3 linked regions of the Diceros bicornis minor genome follow. The protein of the gene in region 2 purifies or fractionates together with the protein of the main gene of each other region. This does not show direct contact. Links are inferred from orthologs where the notes say so. Each region holds a gene or a part of one and is shown on either strand. Other genes may lie near its edges.

The links. Proteins that work in one complex are often made in the same cells at the same time.
Region 1: the proteins of SKP1 (region 2) and CRY2 purify together in Homo sapiens (co-immunoprecipitation; 3 studies listed by BioGRID and IntAct, with this or other methods). This does not show direct contact. The link is inferred for Diceros bicornis minor from reciprocal best matches to the Homo sapiens genes SKP1 and CRY2.
Region 3: the proteins of SKP1 (region 2) and FBXL12 purify together in Homo sapiens (affinity purification with western blotting; 10 studies listed by BioGRID and IntAct, with this or other methods). This does not show direct contact. The link is inferred for Diceros bicornis minor from reciprocal best matches to the Homo sapiens genes SKP1 and FBXL12.

What each region holds. Positions count from the first base shown.
Region 1 is NC_080770.1:24,329,853-24,337,768, reverse strand, and holds the start of CRY2 (cryptochrome-2), read left to right. Parts: upstream 1-4,905; coding exon 4,906-5,141; intron 5,142-7,916. UniProt on the Homo sapiens protein: Transcriptional repressor which forms a core component of the circadian clock.
Region 2 is NC_080740.1:53,332,567-53,340,443, forward strand, and holds the start of SKP1 (S-phase kinase-associated protein 1), read right to left. Parts: upstream 3,015-7,877; 5' UTR 2,912-3,014; intron 125-2,911; coding exon 28-124; intron 1-27. UniProt on the Homo sapiens protein: Essential component of the SCF (SKP1-CUL1-F-box protein) ubiquitin ligase complex, which mediates the ubiquitination of proteins involved in cell cycle progression, signal transduction and transcription.
Region 3 is NC_080769.1:9,233,103-9,240,152, reverse strand, and holds the start of FBXL12 (F-box/LRR-repeat protein 12), read right to left. Parts: upstream 3,012-7,050; 5' UTR 2,806-3,011; coding exon 2,720-2,805; intron 2,628-2,719; coding exon 2,555-2,627; intron 1-2,554. UniProt on the Homo sapiens protein: Substrate-recognition component of the SCF (SKP1-CUL1-F-box protein)-type E3 ubiquitin ligase complex.

The DNA of each region.
Region 1 (7,916 bases), on a different chromosome or scaffold from region 2:
ATTCTCCTATATAATCTTTTCAAAGCTTTACTGTTTTTTTTTTGTTGTTACCGCTGTCAAGTCAACCATCAAGTTGACTCTGACTCCTAGTGACGCTGTGTACAGCAGAGCTGAACCTTGCCCGGTCTTTTTGTGCCATCCTCTCACCTTCTGGCGCTCTATCAGACAATCCTCCCTGCTATTCGTAGGGTTTTCATGGCCAATTTTTTCAGAAGTGGGTGACAAGGTCCTTCTTCCTAGTCTGTCTTAGTCTGGAAGCTCTGCTGAAACCTGTCTGCCATGGGTGACCCTGCTGGTGTTTGAAATACTGGTGGCAGAGCTTTCAGCATCACAGCAACATGCAGCCGCCACAGTATGACAACTGACAGGCGGGTGGTGTGGTTCCCCGAATGGGAAGCGAACCCGTACTGCAGAGGTGAGAGCACTGAATCTTAACCACTAGACCATCTACTGTTTTATATAATCTACCTGAAACTGATTTGTGTGTATGTCCCAAGATAGCTGTCAAGTTTCATTTTTTTATGTTGGGATATCTGATTGACCCATTTCCATTATAGGAAAAACCACCTTTACCCTACTTCTTTGCAAAGACATCTCTGTCATGATTAAATATCCAGATATGTGAAGGTCTGTTTCTGGGTTCTCAGTTCTGAGACTTTTGTCTATCTTGCTCCAATTCCACGCTGCACTGGTATCATCGTTACCATCATCATCATCCCCAGCATCATCATCCCCATTTTACAAATGAGGAAACTGAGGCACAGAGAGGCTAAGGAACTTGCCCAAGTAATTTACTAGTTAATGGCAGAGCTGGAAATAGAACCCAAGGAAGCCGGTTTTTGGGTCCATGCCCTCGTAATAGTTCAAACAACAAATCTCAAAGCAGGCTCTACGGGAAGTCTTAGAAATAGGAAAGCCGCAGCCGCACACTGCGCATGTCCCGTAACTAAAGAGAGGAGGGTGGGGCTCTGGGGCTCCCGGCTCAGCCCCAAACGGAGCCACCGCGTCTTTCCCAGACCCACCACCAGAGGGCGCAGATAACTTAAACTCGCCAGGGTCGTCCCTCCCGCCCTCCCCTGGTTGGCTTGCAACCAATCATAAAATATTTACCCAAAGCGCAGTTCAAAGACAATGTAAAAAATTGCCTAATCCAGTCTCCAAGCAGGACTACAGCAAAAGGACAAAACTGGACTGATTTCAGTTTTCTTAAATATCTTCAGTGAAGAAAGAAACTTCCCACTACCTGGCTAATTTGTCTCATTCCCAAACCACTTTATTATACTAAGTCCCTCCTTGAATCTCTTACTCTTCCTAGGGTAAACTGGATTCTTTTGTTCTACGCTTAGTGGAAACAAGGAGCAACTGTTTGGCATCCTCATGGCAAACTCTTCAGACATGCTTGTAAATAACGACGTGTAGAGCTGTAAGGTCAAATCTCAGTTCTCATTTCTCTCAAAGCTATAACAGTACACGATTACATGTTACCTCTTAGCAATGTACAGGTTTCTTTGGTCTCTCTCCAATTTCCCTATGTCCTTTTGAAATGTGAAGTCCCAAAGTGGACTTTGCACTCCAGTATTCCACCCGTGACAGATTTATTTCCTGATTCTTGAATGTTACCCTGTTAATATACGCAAGCAATGTGCAATCATTCAATAAAGTAACTCATTTTTTATCAACCTGATGAAAGATTATATAGGTATTAAAATAACAATCACAAAGGCAATGACATAGCAATATAGAACATGCTTAATATTTCATTTAAAAAGCCATGCAAACACTGTACTTCTGCCTTGATTAATGCTATAAAAAGACGCTTATGGACAAAGTCTAGAAGGTAACATAAAGGTAAAAACAATAATTGACTTGTTTGGTTTTGGGGGTTGATGGTGATTACTTCTCTCTGTTTTGCATTACTGGTATAATTTTGAGGACTTTTTAACTGATTAAAATCTTTTATTCACTCAGCAACTTATGGAGCACTCATTATGTGAAAGACCCAGGGCGAGGTGTTGCAAGGAAGACCAAAGCAGACACAGATCCTGCTGTTTAGAATAATAGAATAATAATAAGCTGATACTTATTAAATGCTTACTATATCTTAGCTACTATTATCATCCCTATCGTATAGGTGAAGAAAGTGGGGAACAGAGAGGTCAACTAGCTTACCCAAGGTCACACAGAGTAAAAGTAGAACCAGAGTTTGAACACAGACATTGCAAATGTGCAAGCCCTTGGACTTAACCACCATACCACACTGCCTTTCATGAGAGCCTAAAAAGACAGAAATAGATAAATAACATTCAATCATTCAGCAAATATTGATTGAGCATCTACTACATGTCGGGGACCAAACTAGTACTGAGAAGACACTAATGAGCAAGATAAGCACAGTCCCTGCCCTCATGGAGCTCACAGTCTATAAAGAAAGCATCATAGGAGTTCAGAGGAGAAAAAGAGAAGACTACTCATCTTTGAGGCTGTAGGGAAGAACCATCTCTTACACCCTCTGTTCCATTCCTAGCAGAGCATCCACCTTGTGGAGAGAAGAGGAGATGGGAGAGGGAGGAACACAAAGTCCCAAAAGAAAAATAACGAGAGGTGGCATCTATTCATTCAGCAAGCATTTGGAGAGGGGATTCAAAAGTAAAGCCAGGGTCAGGACTGGTGTCTATGCAGATACCAATAACCAATCTGTAGATAAGAAAGAGAGAGTGATATTTAATGAGCTAATGTGAGGACTAGCCCAGAAGTGCTCTCTTCCCCAGGGAGGAAAGCACTCCAGGGAAGCATGGTTTACAGCGTTGTTATATATGAGTTCAGAACGAAGAACATACATCAAGCATGACAGGAATACAGTGTTTTTTTTCCAAAGTCACAAGGAGATGTTTTGCCTCAATTTAGTACACACATAGCAGGTCAGCTTGACCTTAGTTCTCTGGGGAAAAACAAAGCTAATCTTCACGGAAGTACTGGTATCAGAGAAAGGGAGACATTCACCCCTCTTTAAAGAGTGCAGTTGTTGCTTTGGGAAAATCTTTGAAGCAGATGTACAATGCGTGTTTGGTGGGCCATAAGTCAGACTGCTCTGGGAAAAACAAGTTTTGGGCCAAATCAAATTTAAACCAGAATGGCTTCCTCATATACCTCAATATGTGAAAACTTCTTATTATTCTTATTATTTTCATCGCTGGGATAGACCTTTAAGGTTCCTGTCAACCTGAGACTCTAGTTCCTGTTCAATTTTGACTCAAATGTCTTCAAGCATTGAGTGCCAAGCACTGAGCTAGATCCTGGAAATACAACTATAAGTAAGCCACGGCCCCTGCCCTCCAGGAGTTTATAGTCTAATGGGGCAGACAGACAAGTAAGAAGTTCCAGTAAATGTACTAAGGCCAGTGATAAGAAGCAGCACGGAAAGAGATGAGGCACTATGCCGGCTTGGACCAGACAGCAAGGAAGTGACATCTTTACTGAGCGGTGACACAGGACAAGCTGGAGTTCGAAAGTGGATGGGGTGGGGAGTGTGATCCAGGCTTGAAAGAACAACTTGGCAAAGTCCTGGAAATGAGAAATCCTAGGATCGCAACGATGCTCTGATTTATAGAGTGGTGCCAATTAATGCCACTAAATTGCTGACTAAATTGCTAAATTCTTTCATTGCTCATTCCCAAGTTCAGAAAGGGTTCCGAGCATGGGCACAACCTAGGGCCAAATTGAAACAGACTCTTCACTTGATAACTGCAGAGCTCCACCCTGCCTAGGCCATCTTAGCCCACCGTCACTTCATTGCAGGTGTTCATATGCTTCTCCTGCCATTCAGTCAGTGGGGCCGTCAATCAGCGAGACCTGCGCTAGACTCCAGAAGAATAAGAAGCCTCAACCCAATTCCCCAGGGGAGGATTGGGGACAGTGTCCTCCACATCTTTGAGTCCAAGACGAATCCACCACAGTGCTTTGTGCACAGTGGTACCACTGGATCTACTAAACATAGAACTAAAAGAAAATAAATTCATCTGATGGAATAATTACTATCTCAACCCACGTCCTCCACATTCGCAGTCCCTACTCCCAGCCCATCTACTGCTGCGCATCAGCGCACTCCACCCCCTTCTCAGACTCTGCCACTTGCAAACGACAAGTTGCTCAGCGCAAATAGAAGCGTAGCTTTGTGGATAAAAGCAGAAGATTTGGAATCAGAATAATCTGGGTGGAGTCCTCTTATTAGATTTATGATATTGAGCAAGTCTCTCAACCTACGGCAGCCTCAAAGTTTTCTTCGTCTGTAAAATGAGAATAAAACAGCTCTTTCACTGGAGTTTTTGAATGAACGCAACTGGGCTGAGTTGTGTAGTAGTAAATGAGACAGTCTATGTAAGGAGATTATCACGTTGCTTGGCATATAAAATACACTCAAATAGTAGAATGCTGCAGATGATGTAATAGGGTGAAGGCAGAGGAGGAGGAGGAGGAGGAGCATGGTGCTGTAGGACGGCCGGTTGTCAGTCCTGTAAGTCACTGGCTGGACTGGCAAGCCCCACCAGCTCAGGCAGTTTCTTCCAGCGGCAGGCCTTGAACAGGACGCGCGTAAGAGATCCGCTGCCCCCAGACTCGGTGCACGCCCAGACCTCCGCAGGGAGGGCCAGCCTGCGTCACCCGCCCCGCCCGCCGGCTCCTCCCCCGCCGGCGGACACATGGTGGGAACGTGATGGGGCGGGGCCGAACTCGGCGCCGCTAGGCCAATCGCCAGGAGGAAGGCACCCAGCCAATGGCAGAGGCGCTCCAGGGCCAGAGGGGCGGGGCCACAGGGAGGAGCGGCGGCGTCATAGGTCACTGGGCGGGCTGGGGGCGGGGCCCGCGGCGCCGACGGGGCGGAGCAGCGGCGGCCGAGCAGTCCCGGCGGTGATGGCGGCGGCGGCGGTCGTGACGGGGGCAGGGGGGGCTCCGGCGGCGGCGGCGGCGGCGGCGGCGGCGGCCGGAGCGGATGGCGCCTCCTCGGTGCACTGGTTCCGCAAGGGGCTGCGGCTCCACGACAACCCGGCGCTACTGGCGGCCGTGCGCGGGGCGCGCTGCGTGCGCTGCGTTTACATCCTCGACCCCTGGTTCGCGGCCTCGTCCTCGGTCGGGATCAACCGATGGAGGTGAGGGGCCAGGGACGGGGGTGCGGGCCTGGGGGACGCAGCCTGGCCGCGGGGCGCTCGCGAACAGCCCGGGCCCCCCCACAGAGAGGGGGAAGCTCTGCCCCGCAGTCCCCACGGCCGGAAGACTCCGGCCTAGGGAAGCGGGGCAGGAAGACCCAGCGGGGTCCCCAGAGGGGAGAAGCCAAGATGGGGAAAGCAATTAGTCATCGTGCCAATGGCCGGGGGGGACCAGGGCTCGGCCTCTGACAAAGCGCTTCCTCACTCTTTATCCCCTTGGGCCTCACAACATTCCAGAGGACAGAGATCATGGTCCCCGTTGTACAGATGAGACTCTTGAGCCTTAGAGACGCAAAGTTGCCCTGCCCCAGGACTTGCGGCCAGTGCGTGGCAGACCGGGGACTCCTGGTCTAGGGCTCTTAGGGGTGCGCTCAGGGCGGGGAGAAAAGGAGATTCTGCGCTGTGAGGGCAGGGACGGGTTTCTGAATCCATAGCACAGCAGACGCGTGCACTCTTCGAGTAAAGAGCCCATTGCTGGGCTCCTGAAGGTCGTCTCTAAGCCTCTGGTGTGTTTGAATCCATCTTTTCACCGATGCCGACTGCCCTTCCACCAAGACTATCCTGCCTCTGGAGGTGTCTAGAGACTCTGGCTTAGCATTAGATAAGAAGGCAAGTGCCCTCTCCTATGTGTTATAGGTACAGACCCCAAGGCCATGTTCAGTTAGAGGCACTTTGTCTCCTGACCTAGAGAGCAGGACTGAACCCATTTTGGAGAATTCCCTCAGCAGCAGTGAGCTTGCTAGGAAAAAAAAAAAAAAACACAGTGTTACTTCCTTCCTCCCCTTCTTATGAGACTGATCTTAAAGGACAGTTGAACCACCAAAGATTAGACTTTTATCAACTGATGTGCTGAGGTCAGGGAGCAGGAAAACTGCTATCAAGGGCCCGTCTTCGATTACTCCAGGAAATGGAGTTGACAGGATCTTGGGAAAGGATTCACAGATAGGTAGTTGATGTATTTTCTCTGTAATCAGTGTTTAAAACCAAGGCGTTCTGAGACATCGTGTACTCATCTGTCATTAAAACATCCCACAGGAGTCATTCGGTTTGTTTGCGTGGTTCTGGAGGATGTTTGCTGTGGCCATATTGCGTTGGGCAGGGTTATTCCCAGGATACAGTGGCTCTCAGCACACCGTCCTTCCCTCTCCAAGGTGTGTGCCCTGCTGGGAGAGTGAGGGCTCTAGCAGTGGGTCTGTGAAATGCCCCCTCCTGCCCCACTTATATAGAGAGAACAACTAAAGATAGTCCTGTGGAGAGCCTGCCCACACAGTTTTCAGGCGGCTCTGTTGCTCTGTCTCTGCTCCAGTTTCTATAGATAGGAGGTTGGGTTCCACAGACATCCTCAAATGGCCATCTAGCAGGAAGGTTAAACTGAGCCTCAGACTTTGCCCCTCGCTTATGTCAGTGTGCCAATCCGAGCAGAGTAAATAGATCAGACTATCGACTTGTTACACTGTCACCAAGGAGTTTCTTTTGTTGGATTTTGGGGGACATCGCAGAGGACTGCCTACTCCTTTGTGCTAGTAGAGATTAAAAATCAGCAACAAAAACTCTTGCTGATTAAACTCCGATTTGCTAGGAACTAGATGTTTATGGATTTTTATGGGTCATGCTTTTGTGATTGTGCTTTCAAGCAAGTGAAGGAGAAGTGGAATGTGGCAGCTCAGATACCTGAGTCAGATCCTGAAGTCAGAGGCCGTGTAGGAATGCAGATTTTAATTGAGCAATTGTTTTAATGAGTGCCTAATATCTGCTAGGCACTGCCCTAGGGGCTGCTCAGGTCACAGCAGTGAACAAGAGGATGCCGTGTCCAGAGCTCCTGAAACCTACATTTTAATGAAGGAAGACAAGTAAACAACCATAATTTAGTAGAAGTGCCATGAAATAAATAAAATAGGAGGATGGACTAGAGTACTGACTCTCAACTTTGCTGCATATAGCAATCACTTAAGGATCTTTAAAAGATGCCTCACCCCCCTTCCCCCAGTTCTGATTTAATTGTTCTGGGTTATGGCCTGGGCATTAGGGTTTTTAAAGCTCTCAGGTGCAGCAAAGCCTGAGAAGCACTCGACTAGAGAACCACAGACCTGAGCCCGACAGCTTGGAAAATGTGTTGCTGTGCATTGGCAGGAAGTCTAATTAGTTTTGGCATTCAGAAGAAAGAAGTGAAATGACACAAACAGATCGAATGTAATAACTGCTCCTGGGCCTGGAAATAGACACACTCCTCCCACCCCCATACTCTTTGCTCCTTTGATTGGATGGAGGGCACTGCTGCACGCTCCTTTATGCACTCGGTTGGGGGGAGTGATGGAGCCAGCCATACCTCTGCGTAACTCGAGTATGTGTAATCTTCCGGGGGCTGTTTCTGGATCCAGGAGTGATCTGGGAGAATTGCGCTGCAGCACAGTGTCCTCACTCTGCTTCACTTGCTGAGAAGCCTCCCTAAGAAGGGTGGGCCCCGGGCCATCTGCAGGATGGAGATGGCACCAAAATCTGTGATCTCTATTATCTCCTGCGCTTCCTACACTGACTCCCACACAGCGTTTTTTGGCGGATGAATCAGATTAAAATAACCATGAATGGCACTTTCTAAGAGTAAAAGAGGACAGAGAGAGGCAATTAAGAAATATGTATGTTTATGAGCCTAGGAGAAGGGCTGGCATTCTCCTTGCTTTGGTGGTGGTGGGAAGTTTATGGACTAACTGTAGCTATATG
Region 2 (7,877 bases):
CTGACCCAGGTTTTCTAATAAACTTACCTTCTAACATGGTCTTGATAGTCACAGATTGTTTGGCAATTTCCACATCAACTTCAAATATCTCTCCATCAGAGCTCTGCAACTTAATTGAAGGCATCTAAAAAAAAAGTACTATATTGAATTTGAAATTTAAGAGATATTAGTTCTCTACATTTCATCAACTACAGTCTGTTAGAAGCCCTCTAACTTATTAACTATAAAATCCTAAGGAACTGTAGTAGATACCTCTGTAAAACACTGTAAGTGGTAATTCACAGGCCAGCATACAAGTGTTTCTATAAAATTTTTTCAAAGACTAACTCCTAGGAACAGAAGCTTTTAAGGCCTGCCCTACTGAACTCAATACTGGTATAAATTTAAGGGTTACATTCTATACTTTTGATGCAAAATAGATCTCAAATGGACTTACTTTCTGTCTGCCTTTCTGCTCTCACTGAATACTGACTACTCTCATTTGAATAGTTAACTATCACAATTAACCACCTGCAAACCTGAGGAAGGTCAGTCCAAAATAAACAAAGCAATCAAATAAGGGAGTACTTTTCCCATTGTGAGACCTAACAGTGAAAAATGCATTCAGATCCCAAAAGTAGATCAGGATATACTTATTTATGTTTGGATCAATGCAAGACCATATATAAGACAGTAAAAGATTTAAGAATAAGCAGATGTCAATCTAATTCCCTAAACCAAATAAGGAACTTAAACTTCACCACCCTTCTTATACTTCATTTCTGACTGTCCAGGTGTTCCAGTTTGAGATCTTCTGCCGAAATCCTCATAATAATAACCTATTACTTGCTCCAAAAATGTATTTATTAACTCGGATTAATTATGAGTCACCAGGAAAAAGACATCTCTTACATAAAAGTTAATTAAGCAATTAACTTCAAAGAATTTAAGTTCCGGGGAAAAAACAATAAAACCTCTTTAAAATTAAGAATTCTAAGCCAGCAATTTTTTTTTTTTACCATCTTTAGAGTCTTCAGCAGGAGAGGAAAGGGCAGCAATATGTGATTGTAAAGATTAATTCAAGACCTCTTCAAATTTTAAGTATTGCTTTTGAAGCTCCATGCTTTTCAGGTATTCATAATCCTGTGATGTCCCTATTAACTTCAAAGTGTAGAATTCGGCATTTAAAACAGTCATTGCACCCATTTTAGGTTCAAAGGCCTAAGACCCATTAAATCAGTTAAAATATTCATTCAGCTTTTCCCAGACAATTGTTTCCATCCCCCAAACAGACAAGCTGTTAGGGAAAGGAAGCAAAAAGGTAAAACTATATTTTCAAACCAGCCATTGATATATCCTGTTCTCACTACACCATGGTTGGAGAGAATCGCATTTCACTTTTCAGTTCACAAATATGTCTGCTTCTCCATGTTGCTTAGTGCTTGCCAATAATGCAGTTGTCCTGCTCAATGAAGGGCCCAGAGCAGAGGACCTTCCCTGTGACAAGGCAACAACAAAAGGCATCCCCACTAGAGCCCAATTTTTACTTAGAAAACATTCTATGTTCTTTTTATATTCCAAAGCACCAGAACGAACATTACAGAAACATGAGTCTGGTAAAGCAGTTGATAAAATTACTTTTAAGCAAGACGACCATTTCATACTTCTTTCAAATAACTCTCGATAAATAGCAAGATCTGCTTAGTCATAGTCAAATTTGTTTATTAGGTTACTCTTAAGGGAGTTGAGATCCTATTAAATAGCAAGGAGGCAATCGGTTAATCTGTAATTCAATGCACTTTGTAATCCTAGACTTAAAACTCAAAGAGAACTTTTTTCAGTGTTACACAGCTGGAATTCAGTGCAAAAATTTCAGATCACAATGGATAAAATTTTGATTTGACATGCTTTCAAGACCATTTCTCCAATTCCTTAGGCTCCTGAAATTGGAAATTAAATCACCCTCCATGGCTGGCAGGAAGTGGGTTCTATCAACATCATAAAGAAAAAAAACCTGTGTTTCAAGTGCCCTGAAATTCTGACACTTGTTTTTAGAGGGCAGAGTGGAGAAGTCTGCATTGCTCTACGACACAGATACTTTATATTGTGAAGCTCTGGTGAAAACTGCATGACCCCAAAACCCAAACCTTAAGTCTCCACTAAAAAGTGAACTAAATCAGGCAAACGTCCTATCCCTTGGAGACCCAGACGCCTCGAGTTAAGTTTTACAGAGTTGGGGCTCCTAAAAGCCACATCACTATGACGACAGTATCTGCTGTTACAATAGTTGTTTCAGCAACTCCAGGCTGTGGCAAAATAACGGAGAGAAATATTCAGAAGGAGCAGGGGGCTATCTGCAAAGATTCAGCCCCAGCACAGATAGCCAGCATCGGCAACTAGTGACGCCTGACCCAGGGGAAAGGATGGGAGCCGAGATTCCCTAGCTCCGGACTACCGTCGCCACGCTCCCTCCGACACCAAAACAACAACACGGACACACGCCCACGCTCACGACAGACAAGGGCCCTCCACTAAAAGCCCCGACGCCACCTCCGCCCTGGGTCACCGGGGCCCGCAGTCTCAACGCAAAGGGAGGCCCCAGGCCGCAGCCTGGGCCTTGCGGCCGAGCTCCGCGCCAGCGAACGCTCGCTGTGCGCAGAAAAGGCCCAATCCCGGGCTCGGCTCGCACCTCCTGCCTCCTGCCCGCCCGGGCGCCCACCGGGCGTCGCGAGGTCGCGCGACCAGAACAGTCCTCGTCGAGGGGCGGGGCGGGAGAAGGGGCCCGCCGGCACCTCCCGCAGAACGGGGTCTGCAACGGGTTCCACCGGGCCTGAGGGAAGGCCAGGCCCCGGTGCCTCCCGCCTCGGTGCGGGCACCCAACCTGCCATCCGCGGCGCCACCGCCCCTTCCAGCTCGGTCAGAGGCTACTTACGGTGTTGGGTCTCAAGGAGACGGCGGGCGGGAGGCTGACGGGGGCACAGCGGCGTCAGCACACACAGGAGAAAAGCAGACAACAAGGCCACTACAGCGACGCGGCGCGGCGTCGGCCTTTATATGGCGGGCGCAGGCGCCGAGGACCCCGGGGCCCGCGGCGTCACAGAGCCGGCGGGGCTGGCCGCGGAGATCGCCTGACGGCAGGCGGAGGACGGAGGGGCCGGGCCGGGCGGAGAGGCGGTGGCGGGCGGGCGCGGCGGGGCGGGGGCGGGGCTTCATTCTTACCCCACCCTCGAAAGCGCTGCTCGCCCTCCTCAAAGCGGGAACGAGGGACTGGTTGGGCTTCTCCGCGGTTTGCAGGGGCCCTTCAGGCAGGGTCTGTCCTAAGCCGAACTAAAGACCCCAGACGTGAAAAGCCTAGAAAGTGTCAGTGTGTGTGGAGCGGAGAGGGGGGCGTGGATGAGGTCAGGGTGCGGCTCGTCTTTCATGACGGGAAAACTGGGGCTCAAAGAAGGAAGGCAGCTGCGCTTTGCAGTCACTGCTTTGAGATTCCGCTCAGGGCCTCAGTGTCCTCTGAACCCAAGAAGAGTTAGCTCATCCTCCACCATAACCCATGAGGTGAAATATTGTTTGCCTTTTTCTCCTTTGTATGTGAGGGAACAGGTTCACAACGGTTGAGTGGCAGAGCCAGGATTTGAACCTTGCTCCATAGTTTGGTGCTCTTAACCCTCATTTCCTACCATTTATTTCTGAAGAGGCCTCCAGGCCACAAATAACCATTGTTCCAGGGAAACCCCAAGTCTTGAGAGGAGGCCTCTCTCTGGCAGTGAATATCCACTGCTTCAGCAAACGTGTATTGAGCGCGCGCGCGCGCGCGCGTGTGTGTGTCACAGTGCGGGGATTTGGCAGTGACCCAGGCAGCCAGGGTCCAGCCTGGCCAGAACTCTTGTATGGGATGCTCTCTGAAGGCTGGGATAGGGGCCACTGGAGGAATCCAACGCTAGGGAGGGAAAGGGCTAGTCTGAAAACTCCCACCCCCAGCCAGCCAGTCAGGGACTTCGCCCGCTCTCCCCTGCTCTGGCCGGGAACGCTGCCACCCCTCCCTAGGAGACTGAGGCGCCCGGCTCACCTAACCAACAAGCACGTGATGGTATTCCTGACGCCAGGGAGACAAAAGACGCTTCCACACAGGGCCCGGAAAGGAATCAGAGGCCTACAGCTCTTCTGGGATGAGACTGGGCAGGGAGGCCCAGCAGCTCCTTGGGTTACCAGGTCTTTGTCTACAAGCTGTGGTATCCAGTGTCTGCCCGGTGCCACAGCTGATGACAGGAAGATGAAAGGACCTACAGCTCTCATAATTTTTCTCTACAACACAGCCTTGCCCTCAGCAGCTTGAGCTTCAGGTCTCCTAGGCAAGGCCCACTGGAGCCCCTTTGCTCCGCTGCCCATGGCATACAAGGTAGCACCTGGTAAACTCTTGTTGAGCATCCTAAACAGGACTGGGCAGTGCCAGGTCACACATCTAGCCCGAGGACCCAGCCCAGGGCCTGTAAAGGAGGTGTATGTTTTTCCAAATATGTCTGGGGACCCGCAATATTGGAATCATCAAGAGAGGCTTGTTTTTAAAATGCAGGTTTCATTTACTCATATACGCTATTATATGCATAGTTTTCTCAGGAAAGATACACAAGAAATTGTTTGCCTCAGGGGAGGGGAACCAGGTGACTGGGGAACAGGGGTTTGGGTGATTTTTCACTTTATACCCTTTTCTACCTTTTGGATTTCGGTCCATATGAATGTATTACATATTCAAAAAGTTTTTACTTCAAAAATAAATTGGCATCAGGTCAAGAAAAATGCAGATTCCAGGGTCCACTCTTGAGCTAATGAATCAGACTCCCTGGGGGCAGGTTTTTCTGTCTTTTAAACAAGTTCTCCAAGCGATTCTCAAGCCCAAGGTAAGTTGAGAAACCTCTGTAGTAGGGACTCAGTGATGAAGCCTTGCTAAGAAGGGACCAGCAGTGTCTGTCAAAGGTGACTAGTTTAGCTCTACACTTTCTGAATCAACCGTATCCTCTTTCAAACCCTCCACTCAGGAGGAACAAGGCAGTTGTGGGACTGTAGGATGCAGGCTGGGGATCACTCACCCCCAGTCATTTATTCATAATCACTAGCCCAGGTCAGAAAGGACTGGCCCCCACAGACTCCCGTTGGTGTGTGGAGGTGTGTGTGTGTGTGGGGGGGGTGCTTCTGGTTCCAGAGCTGGCCATGAGAAGGCTGAGGTCTCATACTTACTCCAATCACTCCACACACCATGTTATCAAACTCCTTGTTCTAGAGAGGAAGGAAATGCAACCAAAGAGCAAGGACTTTCCCAGTGTCACACAGCCACTGCAGAGGAGGGCTGAGGCTCCAATCCCAGCTATGCTTCTGCCACCACAGCCCAGATATTGAATTTTAACCCTCAAATGCCAGGAATATTTTCTGATTTACAACTGATACCAGCATACTACCTCCAGGGAAGCTAAAGGCCTTGGATTGAAGCAGTCCAGGTGGCAAAATCTGTTTTTTATGGTGAATTCATTTCCAGAGGTGATCTCCCTTTGTAAACAGAGTTTCAATGCTGTAAAGGGTTCATGGGACGATTCCTATGAGGACCAGCCCTCTCAGTGCATCTAAAATTCAGTTCACACTCCCTTTCTGAGGCACCCACCCATGGGACAGACTCTGGACTCTGAATGTGTGTTCCAACCCATAGGACAGCATGTAAGCTACGAAGTAATCCCGTCCCCATGGTCAGAGATCCCCTGGCTGCACTCCACTGCTCTCTTGCTCCGCTGGTAGAGGTAAGCACAGCGACTCTATTACGTGATCTTGGGCAAGTTATTTCACCTCTCTGAGCCTCACCTTCCTCTGCTTAGCCCCTCCTTCTTCCTTTTTGCCAAACTCTAAGCCTTCCACCTAAAGTCAGACCACCATATTACTCCAGAGGAGAAGGTGCTGAATGCAAAGAAAAACAAGTCAAATTCTTAGATCTTGATTTGCAAAATGGACTCTTGAAACCCAAAGCTTTTCAGACAAGAAGGTTTTTTGGAGCACTGAAAGCCCAAGATGCTGAAGGACTCAAATCTTAAATTTTATACTAGCAACAGCAGGGTTGGGAAGAGGAGGTATGATGATGCCAGAGTCAGTTTTCCAAAAGGCTGGGAGTGGGGATGAAATCGAGGCAGAGAAGAGAGCATTGTAGTTAGCTACTGGGGTGGGTCTCTGAAAAGGGACTGTCTCCCACTCATTCCCCCTATCCCCTCAATCCAGGGATATGGAATGATTAGGACCCCCAGAAAGATTTGGGGTCTCTAAGAGTGAAGAGAATCTATCTTAGTCTGTAAGGTCTAAAGTGTTCCGTGATGAGAAGTTATGGCAGCAGTCAAGTAGAAATGGCAGCTGAGTATGCCTAGGCAGGTGGGTCTGGGAGCATCTCAGGCTTGTGCCTAATGTGTGAGGATCCCAAGGATCATCAAAATATGTCCTGAGGCCCTAAAACAGAATGGATGTTGCTCAAAGAGGAGGCAGATGACCAGGAAGGGGCTTCTGGGATGTAATAAGGGGAGCACTAAAGCAGATAAACCTGGACAGTCCAAACCAGAGACCATGGCACAAATGCAGACATCTCTTGGGACAGCAGAAACCAAGGATGACAGTGCACAACTGGTAGGGGTGAGGTCTGCCTGCCTCCCTGAGCAGTAGAGGAAGATGGATGATGACCAACGACCAGACAGCTTCCAGCCCCTTCCCCTCCCACTCCATGCCATGAGCACATAAGCTCTGCAGAATGTAGCTGTGACCCTGGATATCAGAAGAGGGACAGAACCCTCAACTTGACTGAAATGACTGAGTGATCATACACTTACTTGACTGAATTTGCCAGGAAGTGACCAGATTATATTTCTGCTATCAAATGGAAATAGGTACTATACAGAGTAATTAAGAAAATAAGTGAGCTATCATTTTGGCATACCTGAGTTTTCAGACTTTACAGTTTCATATGGCCACAGGTGCACAGGAATCATGCAGACCTGCTGCTGCCCACTTGCTGCTCACATCCTGTGGGATGTGAGTGGGATCAAAGAGGAGGCAAACATGGCTTTCCCTCTCTGGCCTCAGTTTCCTTGTCTGTAGAATGGGGCTTATAGCAGTACCTACCTCACAGGATTTTTGTGAAAATTAGTTATTTTAATCACCAGAATGGCTAAACGTAAGAGAATGACAATACCAAGTGTTGATAGGAATGTGGAACAACTGGAACTCTTACACACTGCTGATGGGAGTTCAAATTGGTACACTTCAGAAAATTGGCAGTACCTACTAAAGCTAAACATACATATATTGAATGGCTCAGTAATTCCAATTCTGGACAAATACCCAACAGGAATAAATCCTTATGTCCACCAAAAATATGTTTAAGAATGTTCACAGCAACTTTATTCATAAGAGGAGAAAACTAGAAATAACAAATCCATCAACTGTAAAATGAAAAAATAAACCGTCGTATAGTATTCATAAAAATGGAATACTAAACAGCAATGAAAAACTACTGCTATAAATAACTCCATGGATGAATCTCACAGACATAATATTGAACAAAAGAAGCTAGACACAAGAGTACTTATTGTATGAGTCCATTGAAATGAAGACCAAAAACAGGCAAAAACTAATCTAGGTTAGAGAAGATAGAATAATAGTTACCTTTGGCAGGGAGGCAGGTATTGATAGGAGAAGGATGCTAGAAATTCTCTATTTTGATCCAGGTGGTAGTTTCATGGGTGTATGCATATATAAAAATTCACTGAGCTATAATCGTATCTGTCTACTGCATGCAAGACATAACTCAATTTAAAAAAGGGGGGAGGGTGTGAAAAATGTGATAATGTATGTTGCATGCTTAGCATGGTACCAGGGTCAGT
Region 3 (7,050 bases), on a different chromosome or scaffold from region 2:
ATTTACCCTTGAGAAACACTGGTTTCTGACAGCACTGTTTTAACAGCAAAATCTAGGAAAAAAACTAAAATGTACATTGGTAAGATAATAGCCATCTAAGCAGCAATTCAGAACAAAGCAGATCTAGAGATACGAACACGGGTAATTTCTCAAGATGGGCAGGAAACAGTGGCAAAATAATGCCTCATAGATAAAAGAAAAAAGAAACAATACCATTTATTTTGTCTGGGTATAACTATTCCCCGACATAACGGCTAACATTTATTGAGTATCTACTGTTTGCTAGGTACAGCGCTGAGCAATGAACTAGAGCACTGATCACTGAACTACCTGGTCATGTAGTAAATACCCCTGGAAAAATAATCTTGGCTAGAATCTTGTTGCAAGAGGAAGAGGTAAGTTTCAACACAGCCTGACTCCAAAGCTGAATCCTGCTCTTGTAACCACTGCTCTTTCCTCCTTACACAGACACAAGGATGTAAACGCATATAAGATGGGATGGAAGGAAATATTCCACCCTTATAGTGGTTCCTCTGGGGAGGGGTGAGGATACCAGAGGATGACTGTCAAAGGCTCTTAGCTTCAGCTGTGGCAATATTTCAACGTTCTTACTAGGAGAATTATTCGTGACTCGTGATTTTTTTAAAATAAACTTTCACTAGTACATAAATTATATATCAAAAAGAGGACTGTAGGGGCTGGCCCGGTGGCGCAAGCGGTTAAGTGCGCGCGCTCCGCTGCGGCGGCCCGGGGTTCGCTGGTTCGGATCCCGGGCGCGCACCGACGCACTGCTTGGTAAGCCATGCTGTGGCGGCGTCCCATATAAAGTGGAGGAAGATGGGCACCGATGTTAGCCCAGGGCCGTCTTCCTCAGCAAAAAAAGAGGAGGATTGGCGGATGTTAGCTCAGGGCTGATCGCCTCACAAAAAAAAAAAAAAAAAAAAAAGAGGACTGTAAAACAAATGTTCTAGTTAATCTATTATGTGTGCTGAAGTGTTTAGGGATGAAGTGGACCCATGTTTGCAACTTATTTTGAAACACACTTGAATAAAATGGATTGGGCCAGCCCTGGGGGCCTAGTGGTTAAGTTCAGTCCATTGGCTTCGTGGACTTGGGTTCAGTTTCCAGGCACGGACCCACACCACTCCTCTGTCAGGGACCATGCTGTGGTGGCGGCTCACATAAAAATTAAAAAGAAGAGGACAATTGACAACAGATGATAGCTCAGGGCAAATCTTCCTCAGCAAGAAAAAAAAAAAAGACTATTTATTCCAGCGGGATAAGGAAAAGGACATTATTTGCCTCACACTAGTTCAGGTCAGGGTTTGCCACCAAATGAATTTGTGCCAAGCTTACAAAAAAACTGTTCACTTTGCAGACTTTTTGATTCTGGAATTGTAGATAAGGAAATGAAGATGATAAAGTATAAACGACCCTACCCTCAGAAATTGCACCTCTAGGTTTCTGAGTAACTCCTACCTGGACACAAGAAGACGGACACAAGCACATTCTCACGGAACAAGAATCAGTGGCATGAGTGACACCTGGGAGGTTCTTAGAAATTCAGAATCTGGGGCCCCCACTCTAGGCAGCTGAATCAGAATTTGCATTCTAACAAGATCCCCACGTGACTCATACGCACAGTAAAGTCTGAGACACCACTTTTAAGACTGTAATCATAAAAAGTTGGAAATAAACTAAATGTCTGTCAACAGGAAAACAGATGAACACATTGTGGTATATTAATTTAACAGCAGTTAAAAAGAATGACCTAGATTACAAGCGCCAATTAGAATAAATCTCAAAAGCAATGTTGTGTGACGGAAGCTAGTTGTAGATGGATGTGTAACTAAAATAGCATTTAAATATCTAAATAGTAGAATAGCATTATCTAAACTTTAGAAACACGTTAACAATACTGTATATTGTTTATATAGGGCACCCACACAAGAAGTAAATAAAAATGTAAAAGGATAAAAATCCACTTTCTAATAGTGGTTGCCTCTGAGGAGGGTTCCAAAAAGTGCGACAAATATACCTATAAATGTTATATGCATATATGTACACATAAACATTTGTATGTGTGTTTCACACGATCTGCAGTAAACGAGGGCAAAGGTTAAAATAGGTTAAATCGAGGACATGATTGTTCTACATATTTGAAATAGTTCATAATAAAAACAAGAAAAATGAGAATGCGGGAAAGTAGAAATGGTTCGGTTGCACTACTCAGGAAATTAATTCTGGAAATAAGCTGACTATGGAAAATTATGTCTCCATGAAAACTCACCAATAATAATAATATTTGATAATGTAATCATCAACCAGCATCTATCGTATGCTGACTATATGCCAGACACTAACGGTGCCCATTCCCTGCACAATCTCGGTTACCCCATTTTGGAGATGGGGAAACTGAGGCCGGGAGGTCGCAGAGGAGCAGGTAAGCGACGCGACCGGAGTGCGCCCGGGACTGCCGGGCTCGAAACCCAGGGTGAGAGGGGTGGTCTCGAGGTCCGGCCACCCGACCGCGGCCCAGGCCGGCCCCACGTACCGTATACAGGGTCAGGTCGACGTGTCGCCACAGCCACCGGTCGTCCACCAGCCTCTTCCAGCGGTGACAGACCCTGAGGGAGGGGACCCGCGGTTAGAACGACCCCGGCCCCGCGGGGACCGGATCCGCAGCTCCGGGCGCGCCCCCCGCCCGGCCCTTCCTCACCTGGAGACGCGGATCCGGTCCCGGACCGGGAGGTAAGAGAAGACCTCCAGCAGGACCGAGTCCGGCAGGTCGGCGAAAGTCGCCATGATCCGGCCGACACGCACTTCCGTTTCCGGCGAGGGGGACTCGGGGATCACCCCGGGGGCGCCCCAGGAGGCGGGGGAAGGTGGGGGTTCGGCAGTGCGGTAGCCGCGGCCTCCGGCAGCCGGCGGAGACTTCCGGCTTTCCTCTTGCGCGAACGTTGTTGGGCCTCAGCTCCACACCAGCTCGGGGTCTGGACCGAAAGCTGAGGACTTCGCTGGGGCCGAGGATCAAACCCAGAAGGCGTGGCCGGGGTGGTGACAAAGCCCGGGGGCGGGGTTAGGGGCGGGGACGAGGCTCTGGGGGCGGGGCTGGGGACGAGGGACAAGCCCGGAAGGCGTGGCCGGGGGGGGGGGTGACGAACCCCGGGGGCGGGGTTAGGGGCGGAGACGAGGCTCTGGGGGCGGGGCTGGGGACGAGGGACAAGCCCGGAAGGCGTGGCCGGGGGGGGGCGGGTGACGAACCCCGGGGGCGGGGTTAGGGGCGGGGACGAGGCTCTGGGGGCGGGGCTGGGGACGAGGGACACGCCCGGAAGGCGTGGCTGGGGTGGGAGACGAAGCCCGAGGGCGTGGCTAACGGGGGGGCGGTGGCTCAGGGGCGCGATTAAGGACGGGACGAGGACCAAGCCCGGAAGGCGAGGCTAAGGCGGTGACGAGCCGGGAGGGTGGGGTGGAGAGACCAGACGTCGAGCGGAGGGCGTGACGGAGAGCGAGGTCTTAACTTTTTTACTTAATCATAGTTTTTGATGCATATACACGAGGATAAATTTGCAGAAGCGAGATAGCTTTTTAAAGTGCATGTTGAATTTTTCGTTTTGATTGATACTGCCAAACTGTTCACAGAGGCTGTCTTGAGCTGACCCTCCCACCAAATGTAGATCACTCATTTTTAAAATAGCAATTCATAAGGGTAGTGAAACTTATTCAAACGTTCCCGTATTGATGAGCATTCAAGTTGCTTCCAGACTTCTTGTTACCACAAACAATAACGCAGCTAAGTATTCTTTATTATATATGTATGTACATATATATGTATGTGTGTATATCCTGCTTTTATTTCTATAGGATAAATAATCAGGAGTCGGTTTGATGAGTCAAAGGACATGTGAGTTTAATTTTGTTAAATCACTCCCCCAAGAGCCTATAATGGCAATAAATATGTTTCTAATACACACACACATACAAAAGCAGGAATTGGAGATTATTTTAAAATTGAAAACTATTTTAAAAAGAAATGCAAAACTCATTAAGATGTATACATGAAATGTGTGCAATTTTTATATATCAATTATGCCTCAATAAAGCTAAAAAAAATACATCTTTATGCTCACACTTATCCATAAATAAATAAAAAGTAAAACACTCTGGTTTCTCACCTATCAGATTAAGAAAGATGAAGAAGCTGGAAAATACCCACACTGGCCTTGGTGTGAGGAAACAGATCCTCTCAGCTACCACAGATGGGGCAGGATTGATGCAAACTCTTTGAAGGCTGTTTGGCAATAGGAGATTGCAGCCCCTGTTTGGACCCAACAGTCCCACTTCTAGGATTTCAAGATGTCAAAAAGAATGAGGTAGATCTTTCTGTGCTGTTTGGAATCCTCTCCAGGATATTGTTTGCTTTAAAAAACAAAAAGTGTAGAGGACAGTGTGATACTGGTTCAACACGAGGTTGACATGAGGGAAGCCATATTGTAGGAAAGAAACCCTATTGTAACTTTGAATGACCTCTGATTAACTGACATGCTCTGTGGATTCTATGGCCCCTCCCAGCTGCTATAAGTTGATAACTTTGTTCTTTTGAGTTCCTTAGGAATGTGATGACCCCCGGGCAGAGAGGCTATGCTGATAGCCATCATTAATGACAACTGAAAGATCTGGGTATAGGGCGTTGCTCCGGTCTCTGATGCATATCCAGTAAAACAAAAGACTATCAGGAACTAAACAGACTATCAGGAACAGATATCTGCTCCCACCCAGAGATCAGATGGATGCCCCCACCCAGAGACCAGATGCCTCCCCCACCAGGAGACCAGCCCCCTATATAACTGGCCTGTAATCTTTGTGCTGTAAGATGGCTTTTTTAGGTCATGAGTTGGCCGTCTTCCCTCTTGCTAGCAAGCTGTAATAAAAAGTCCTTTCTCTCCTACCACCTTGCCTCTTGACTATTGGCATGTCTTGCAGCAGGCAGAAGACGCCCCCTTGGGCAGTAACAAGTGCATATAGTTTGATCCCACTGGATATATATATCTCTCTCTCTCTCTCCAATAAAATGCATACACAATTTATAATGTGTTTTGCTTTATACATAAAGGCCTATATAAAAACTAAGTTGTTTGTTTCTGCTCTTTGACATAACTTAACCCATTGCATGTACTTGAAAATATAAAGTCCCTATCTCCATTGGAACATGTTATTAACATCTGAAAAATTTTGTTATCTTCTTGGGAGACTCCATATCACACATGTTTGAAGATGCAGAGACTCAGAAATGGAGACTTTTAATGGTGGTTGCCCCTGGGGAGAGGCTGGGTCTGGAGAGTAAGGAGACTTTATGTTGCTGTATATACACTTTTGTGCTGCTTGCATTTTTGCCGTGTGGAAGTAGTACCTTAAAAAAAAAAAAGTGGGGCCAGCCCAGTGGCATAGTGGTTGACTTCATGCTCTGCTTCATAGGACTGGGGTTCGCGGGTTTGGATCCTACATGCCACTCATCAAGCCATGCTGTGGCAGCATCCCACTTACAAAACAGAGGAAGACTGGCAACAGATGCTAGCTCAGGGCTAATCTTACCAAAAAAAAAAAAAAAAAAAAAAAAACAAACAACAAAATAAATCAAACCCCTTTGATATTCCTCCTCAAACAAGAGCACAGAAAAAGTGCTTCATGCTTTGGCAGCCGTCTTGTGCCTGTGGAAGGAAAGACCAAAAGAATCGCACAGAGATCAAGCCACTTGCCAGGGCCACAAGCTCAGATCTTTCTTTCTTTCTTTTTTTTTTTTAAATAGTCTTTATTGGTTTACACCACGTGCAGCCAGCTCAGAACAAGACGAATGAACAATGGGCTGAGAAGCAGTGTTCCTGAAGGAACAGCGCTTGGCTAGGGGGTCCTTCTAGTTTTGTTTTGTTTTGTTTTGTTTTGTTTTGTTTTGTTTTGTTTTGTTTTGTTTTGTTGGTGAGGGAGATTGGTCCTGAGTTAACATCTATGCCCATCTTCCTCTATTTTGTATGTGGGACGCCGCCACAGCATGGCTTGATGAGTGGTGTGTCGGTCCACACCTGGGATCCCGGGCTGAACCCCGGGACGCCAAAGTGGCGCACATGAACTTAACCACTATGCCACCAGGCCGGCCCCAGCATGGATCTCTCTGGTGCCAGATCCTGGGCCTCTACCACAGTGCTGCATGGTCATGATTCCCTCTGGAAAGCCCCCACCATCATGCAGGGGCAATGTCTTCTCTGCTCCCAGCGTCTTGGGCTTCCTCCTCACAGCACCTGACACGCTGTATTGCAAGGACCTATTCACTTGTTTCCTTCTTTCCTTGTCTTCCTCCTCTATCAGACTGAATTCTGGGGTGGCAGGTCAGCCTTGCTCACTGCCATATCTCCAAGGCCTGCTGCCCTGCTAAGAGATTGGGAGAAAGGACTTCCTGAGCAACTCGCTCCACCCCTAGGATTATTTCTCCTCTGGTGAACCCTGGGTGGGATGGCTGCCTTTAAGTTTGGCAGAACCCAGGTGTCCCTGCCCCCGGCTCAGTTACACCGGTTCCTTAGAACCATCTCCTGCCCCATCAGCACACAGCAGTGGAGAGAAGAGATCCCCGCATTCTGATCCTCTGGGTCAGAATCCCAGGAAACAAGAGGGCAAAGGGGGCCTGCCAGCTGGCAACTTGGGTCGTGACCCAGCACTTTTCCCTTCTGAGAAGCACCTTCCTCCTCCTAGAAGGAGCAGCTCTGACAGCAGATCCGTTTGCCGCCCAGACAGAGTGATGGGGCTGCCCTAGCCCCTCAAAGGGCAGTCACTGAGTCCCTTCATGCGAAGCCCAGAATTATAAGTACCAGGGTGTGTGTAGGGGGTGGGGGACAAGGTCTCTTGTCTCCTGAGGCTCCTCCCCCTCCCACCTGGGTCCAGGAGAGGGAGTCAGTGCTGTCTAGTCCTGGGACTTCTCACTGCCCACTCCCTACTCCCTCCTCAGGATGGCTTAGCCCAGCTGGGGCTGGCAGGCCCCCCAGTAGATCCCCCCACTCCCCA